2 linked regions of the Canis lupus familiaris genome follow. The protein of the gene in region 2 purifies or fractionates together with the protein of the main gene of each other region. This does not show direct contact. Links are inferred from orthologs where the notes say so. Each region holds a gene or a part of one and is shown on either strand. Other genes may lie near its edges.

Region 1 (3,824 bases), on a different chromosome or scaffold from region 2:
TTTGTATAGTAGGCTGAGCTTATACTTATAGGTAGGTCGAAAAGTTGGGACGCCTGGTTGGCTCAGTTGATAGAGCATGCGACTCGATCTTGGGGTTGTGAGTTTAAGCCCCACGTTGGATGTGGAGCCTACTTGAAAAAAAAGTGAAAACATATTTCTTGAATTTAACATACTATTAAAGTTTGGTTGGTAATTTAACATACTATTAAAGTATGGTAGTAAAGTTAGGTTGGTTTCTGTTTTTAGGATATTATTTGAAATGAGCAGCCTTGTATATATCTGCTTTTTGGGAAAACCTTTTTTAGAGATTTGTACATGGCTTTCACTCCTGTTGGGTTATTATACCTGAATATTTTGCCACCTTAAACTTCAGTAGTTGATTAGTATTAAGAGCAGTCACTGCTGTTCTGAACAGATTGTTCTAATCAGTAAGTCAATCCCTACACCTGCAGCAATCCTTACATTTTGGACACAACAGTGTTTTCACTACTTTTTTGAGATTTGCATCCTCTAATATATTCCTGCATTTACTGAGATTTTTTTTTCCATTTACTAAGATTTTTGAGGGTGGGGAATGATTTGAAAACTTGAAATGGATTGGGAAATGGACAGTCTTGATTCGGAATTGAATTGTAACAATTTTGGAGTTTTCCTTACCAGCAGGAAATTTTCTTCATCCTATTTAGAGATTTATTAGCCTACCTGTATAGAGCTTTCGGCTTTCTCTTCTAATGAGTTGGGCATTATAACGCATGGAATTGGTTCCAAATTTTAAAATATTTCCTCCAAAGAAATTTAAATGACAGTATATTAGCTTACGCTGCATTGAGTTATGTAAACTATGCAGAAAAAAGAGAAAGAAGTAATTTATCCTCCCCTTTTTTTAACCAAACTTGTTGATCATCGAATGCCTGAAGTACTTATCCAGGTCTTTCTTCTGGATATTGTGATTCAGTAGGTCTAGGCATAGGACCTGGGATTCCATATTTTTGATAAGCTCTCTGGATGATTCCTGTTACTGTTCTACCTCACATGTTTTTTGGCATGGTGATAGACATTAAACAAAATAGACAAAAATCATTGCCCTCTTAAAGCTTACATTCTGATTGAGAGTGTACTGTAATAAAGATTAAGTGAGCATATGGCCCAGAATAATGTGAGCCTAGAGAAAGAATCTGTTATGCTTTGGGTTGGTTATAATTTGCTAAAGTATGCCTCCCAGTGTGGGTATCAGAGCCTGGTGAGTGAAACTTGCTGTTTAAGATACATATTTTTAGTGTAATAAGGCTAATAATATCTGTTGTTTAATGAAAAAAACTTAGATTTATTCAGATATCTTTCCTAAAGGGTTTTTCTGTGGGGAGTTTTGGTCTAAAGTGATGATTGTAGTTCCCCTCTATTTTCTCAAATGTTTCAGAGGCTAGTTGTTTTGTTTTTTTTTTTAATTTTTACATTAAGGTACAGTTTATATACAATGTTATATTAGTTTCAGGTGCATAAGGTTCCATACATTGTGTAGTGTTCACCACAATAAATGTATTTACCATCTGGTGTCATAGAGCATTACGTTTTGTTATTTTTCAAAGACATCTAGAAGCAGACTGATGTCCAGAGAATAGACCTTAAGAATACTTTTTTACTTAAAATGTTTCTTTTGGTTTAGTTATATTGTGGCTTTTAATAGAGTTTTCTATTGCCAAGTGGTGGAAATTAATATTCTTGCAATTTAAAAAGTAAATGAAAATACAATGGGCAGTGCACAAAATACTTCTCATGTATTCTCAGAAACCTATACCTTTGTTTTGATCCTTTTTTAATTTAACATTTTGGATTCCTGTGTGTGCTTAGAAATTAGGGCTTGCTTTTTTGCCTTAAGTAAAATCTTGAAGGACTGGTTTATATTTAGATTTCCTGGTTTGACTTTTGGAAGGTGATTTTCTAGGATTAAGATTGTTAGAAGAAATTATTGCTGTTATAGCAAAGGCTTTCATTTTAAGCATGTTACTGGTTATTGGAGCCATTTGAAAGGCTCATCATTAGTGAGAGGAGGAATCTCCCTTTTTCTTTAGGATGGAATGTAGTTTCACTTAGCCACATCAGATGTTTTCTCCAGCTTCTTCCTGGAGCTGCTGGGAGATGGGAGATGTATATAGGCTGTCACCCCAGTGGCTACAGCTCCATCTGGCAGCTATAAAAAGACTGCTGAGACTGAAAGCCCCTGGAAAAAACATGTCTTTTATTTTGTGGTGGTAGCCCCTGGTGAGTAGAAGACCCTTTTTTCAAACTCAGTTAAATATATCTAACTTGTGAAAGGCAAATGAAATTGAATCGATAGTAAAGCTTAAAATCTTACCCTTGGACTGTTTTTAAAAGATGAATTACTGAACAGTTTTCAAAAATAATAACCTTTATATTTAAATTGTATTTTCCTTCATATATGTGAAGCACTGGAATAATTGGACCCAAGCCAATCCTCTGTTTCGTTGTTTCTGGCACTGTAGTTGTAGATGTAAGTGGGAGAAAAACAGTTTGAAGTATGGCGCTTTTGAAGGTTGTCTTTCTTTTTCTCCTGCCAGGGAGGACATGTATGCTCAGGACTCTATAGAGCTACTAACAACATCTGGCATCCAGTTTAAAAAACATGAGGAGGAAGGAATTGAGACCCAGTACTTTGCAGAACTTCTTATGACATCAGGAGTGGTCCTTTGCGAAGGGGTCAAATGGTTATCCTTTCATAGGTAAAAAAGAAAAAAAAATTGCATTGAAAATAGCATTTGTGTTTCTGTTTCCTAGCTGCTTTATACTTGGTGTGGGTCACTGTTCGAGAGGGAACTGGCTGCCGCAAAACAGTCTCCTCTCTTAAGAAGCTAATGTTGGTCTGCTTAAGGGTTAATTTAAAGGTATGAGATTCATTTTTAGCCTATGAGAGAGACTGTATTACATAGTGGAAAAAGTTAAGCTGATAAAGTAGATCTTGGTTTAAATCCAGCAATGCCATTTGGAATCAATGTTACCAAGAGTCATTTAACATTTCTGAGCCTTAGAATTAAACCATTCATTCATTAAGAAAATATTTATTTAATATCTACCAATGCCAAGTACTGCAGTATAAGATTCTAGGAATTAAGCTGTGAGCCAAACAGACAAAAATCCTCATCTTCATGAAGTTTATATTCTGGTCAGAGTAGGCAATTTTTTTTTTTAAATGATGACATTTATATTGTGGTTTATTGGTTAGTAAGTGCAATGCAGTAAAAAACCAGAAAGAGAGTGTTAGGGGAGGGTAGAGGTTGTGGATTTTATTATTTTTTTTTTTTAAATAGAGTGATCAGCTGGCATTACTTAGGTAAATATCTTGTTTTAATGACCAATGATATATTTAGAGCATTTTAGTAAAAGACTTTACACACAGTTAATTCTCAACAAATAGTCATTTTTAATTCTTATTATAAAATAAGACTGGATTGTTGAAGAGAATTTCCAGAAGGGGAATTAGTTCCATTTTTTAAGAAGAGACTTCCAAATAAGACAGAGTTTTCCTATTTAGGTAAACTAAATTAAACTGGAAGCCCAGGGACTAAAAGTGGCCTCGGTAATTAATTTATTTGGCCTTCTCTTACGGTAATTAATTTATTTGGCCTTCTCTTAATGTTCTTACATTGGGTCCATTCCACACATTTAAAAAAAAAAAAGGAGTCTCCTGCATTTTCAGCTCTAGCCTCTGGAATGATTATAGTGAAGGACTGTTCATATTGCAAACTCTGGTGTAATACTAAGCAGTAATTTTTAAGTTGGTACCGAACATAGTAATTCTCACCTGTCAT
Region 2 (3,824 bases):
TCTCAATCTTCCTTTCTTACGCTTGCTCTGTGGAAGTGGCAAGAAACACACATGCATGTGAAAAAACAAATAATGGGCAACAAGTACTTTTACTCGACGTCTTTGAGGTGCTGATGATGGTGATGGTGGCTTGGTTGTTAGATCTGGAGAAAAGTGGATGGATTTGGGGTTCGGTGGTGGTTGGGATTTGCCATGCACAGTAAGCAAGCAAGGATAAATCTTAGGTTTTAGGAAACTTACTGAGACGAAGAAAACCAGTAAAGAAGCAGAATTTTTTTTCTCCTTTGGGAATAGGCATCTGTGGGGGAATGATCCAGGAGTTAGTATTCTGTTTGAGACAGGTGCAATTACTGTTCTCACTTTACAGATGAGGAAACTAAGATACAGAAAGATTGAGGATCTTGCCTGTGATCATATAACTAGGAAATGACAGAGCAGCTTTTAAGCCCAAGCAGTCTGACTACAAAGTTGTGCTCTTAATCACTATACCAAACTGCCACTGGTGGAGCATTTCTTTGAAGCTGGCACTGAACTAAATACTTCACATAGGACAGTATAGTTAACAGCTGGGTAAAGAGGTACTGTCTGTCTCCCTGTTGTGCAAATTTGGTCATACAACTGCTGCAGAGAGCCCAGACTTGAGTCTTGGTGTCTGTGGAGTTTCAGCAATGTACTTAGCCACCTTGCTTTATTACTCAATGCTGAATCCTGCTTTCCTCACCTGATTTTCTGTAACTTAGCCTCTGGGCCTTCATTTATTTTCCCAGCTACAAAGTAAAGGTAGTATCGGTGCTTTAGGGTTGTTTCAAGGAGTCAGTGACAAAAATGCAGAGAAAACACATGATCCGTGGTCCTGATTGATGATACTGCTGGTGCCGGTGTTGATATATTGGTTTGTTTTTACCCCATGAGACAAACTGTTCGATATCCTGTGTTTCATGAGGAAAATGCTTCTCATGGGCACTGAAAGATGATGACAAACTTCATTTGACAGCTTAAAAAAATGATTCCCAACTGGGAGTGGAGATAAGAGTTTGTTATGGAACTTTAAGATTCATGTAATTGGTGAATTATGTATACGCCTTTAGTCTCTCTTTAGTCTTTTTTCTGCTCTTCTTTCTAACTCCTAGTTTTTTAATGCTTGATGATTGTGCTTTGAGAGAAATGATGGAAGATGAACCTGATTTTCTATATTTGCAGTACATTGGTAGTGAGTTACATTTGTTTTCTAGGCTTGCAACTCCTAGCAGTTGGTTTATTAGGTCTGGGATGTGAGGATGTGATTTGAACATGTATGTTATTTAAAAGCACTACGTAGGATTCTGAGTACTACTCTAGTTGAAAACTACAACATAAGCAACCCCCTAAAGACAGTCTAAATGCAGACATCTTATGCAGGTTAATATCCCTGAGGAACTTTTAACTACCAGATCCTTAAACCGAATGAGAGGAATGAATCTGGGGAAGTATTAGAAGCATGAGAACTGCCTGCCCTCTACCTGCAGGAAGATAACTAGATGATAATGTATAGCGGTGAGTCCAAGATTATAGGATTCTATGACTGATCATTAATGATGTTCAGTGTCAGCACTTGATTTTTTTAATCATCATAATTCTGTGATCTCCTAAAAAATATGGCTATGAAGGTAAATTAAATTTTTATGAAGGAGAATGCAACTAAAAATATTTGTACTTGCATGCAGTATTTCAGGTTGAACATAAACACTAATGAAATGGAAATAAAATGGGAAAGAAAGGCTTTGTAATTTTTATAAACTTGTTCTAATACCCAAAACCGTTGTGTGAAAAAGCTCCTCTAAGAAAGGAAAGACAGGAAAGGATTTCTCATATGTTTCTAATACATTTAGTCAAGTTTGTCCTGCTCCTTTGTCCTTACCCATCTCCTTCCCAGCCCCCCCTTTTTTTTTCCACGTCAGGCCTCTAGGCCTGGGTTGCTTCATTATCCTAATACATTACTACAACCTAGTTCTTCCTGACACTAAAATTCTTCTACTTGCTGATAAGTAATAGTTTGTTCATTCAGCAGCAGATCTCTAATGAGAGGGACTCTTGTGTTCCAGGTACTGCCCTAGGCTCATAGGATAACATCAGTGAATAAAACGCAAAATACCCTGCCTGTGTGGAATTAATGACTAGATAAGGAAAGTTGGTAGCTGGGATATAATCCGTGCTTTTGTAACCATACTGCCAAGTATCAAATTTTGTTAATGTCGAGGAACCACATATGTTTATAACATTTCTCATCTTTCCAAGCACTTAATAGTTTTTGTATTTCTCCTTTATTCTAGATATAAACCACAGTACTTCAGGATCCCATTATGAAAATTCACAGCGGGGACCTGTGTCTTCTCCGAGTGACTCTAGCACAAATTGTAAGAATGCTGTTGTAAACGACTCCCCTGAGACAGAAGCATGGCCCTCAGTCCCTGGCAGTGATCCAGAGTTGGCTTCAGAATGTATGGATGCTGATTCTGCCTCCAGTTCTGAATCAGAGAGAAACATCACTATCATGGCTTCAGGGAGCACAGGTGGTGAAAAAGATGGCCTTCGGAATAGCACTGGACTTGGTTCCCAAAACAAGTTTGTGGTTGGTAGCAGCAGCAATAATGTGGGCCATGGAAGTAGTCCTGGGCCATGGGGTTTTTCCCATGGAGCCATAATAAGCACATGTCAGGTCTCTGTGGATGCTCCTGAAAGCAAATCAGAAAGTAGCAACAATAGAATGAATGCTTGGGGCACTGTAAGTTCTTCATCAAATGGAGGGTTAAATCCAAGCACTTTGAATTCAGCTAGCAACCATGGTGCCTGGCCAGTATTAGACAACAACGGACTTGCCCTCAAAGGGCCTGTAGGGAGCGGTAGTTCTGGCATCAATATTCAGTGTAGTACCATAGGCCAGATGCCTAACAATCAGAGTATTAACTCTAAAGTGGGTGGTTCTTCCACCCATGGTACCTGGGGAAGCCTTCAGGAAACTTGTGAATCTGAAGTAAGTGGTACACAGAAGGTTTCATTCAGTGGTCAACCTCAGAATATTACCACTGAGATGACTGGACCAAATAACACTACTAACTTTATGACCTCTAGTTTACCAAACTCCGGTTCAGTACAGAATAACGAACTGCCTAGTAATACAGGGGCCTGGCGTGTGAGCACAATGAATCATCCTCAGATACAGGCTCCATCGGTTATGAATGGCACTTCCCTTTCTCATCTTAGCAATGGAGAGCCAAAAAGTGGAGGCTCTTACGGTACTACGTGGGGTGCCTATGGTTCTAATTACTCTGGAGACAAATGTTCGAGCCCTAACGGCCAAGCTAATGGTGACACTGTGAATGCAACTCTAATGCAGCCTGGCATAAATGGGCCTATGGGCACTAACTTTCAAGTGAACACAAATAAAGGAGGAGGTGTGTGGGAGTCTGGGGCAACGAATTCCCAGAATGCATCGTGGGGAAGTGGAAATGGCGCAAATTCTGGAGGAAGTCGACGAGGATGGGGAACTCCTGCACAAAACACTGGCACTAATATACCCAGCGTGGAGTGGAGCAAACTGCCTAGCAATCAGCATTCCAATGACAGTGCAAATGGCAATGGTAAGAAGTTTACAAATGGATGGAAATCTACTGAGGAAGAGGATCAGGCTTCTGCCGCATCTCAGACAACTGAGCAGAACAGTGTGTGGGCCAAAACAGGAGGTACAGTGGAGAGTGAAGGTAGTACAGAAAGCACTGGACGCCTCGAGGAGAAAGCCACTGGGGAAAATCAGAGTAGAGATCGGAGAAAAATTGATCAGCACACAT

Evidence for each region.
Region 1: the proteins of TNRC6A (region 2) and CNOT7 purify together in Homo sapiens (affinity purification with western blotting; 3 studies listed by BioGRID and IntAct, with this or other methods). This does not show direct contact. The link is inferred for Canis lupus familiaris from reciprocal best matches to the Homo sapiens genes TNRC6A and CNOT7.

The regions. Positions count from the first base shown.
Region 1 is NC_049237.1:41,445,431-41,449,254, reverse strand, and holds part of CNOT7 (CCR4-NOT transcription complex subunit 7), read left to right. Parts: intron 1-2,576; coding exon 2,577-2,738; intron 2,739-3,824. UniProt on the Homo sapiens protein: Has 3'-5' poly(A) exoribonuclease activity for synthetic poly(A) RNA substrate. Its function seems to be partially redundant with that of CNOT8.
Region 2 is NC_049227.1:21,528,777-21,532,600, reverse strand, and holds part of TNRC6A (trinucleotide repeat-containing gene 6A protein), read left to right. Parts: intron 1-1,432; exon of another isoform or gene 1,433-1,517; coding exon of another isoform or gene 1,518-1,533; intron 1,534-2,309; coding exon 2,310-3,824.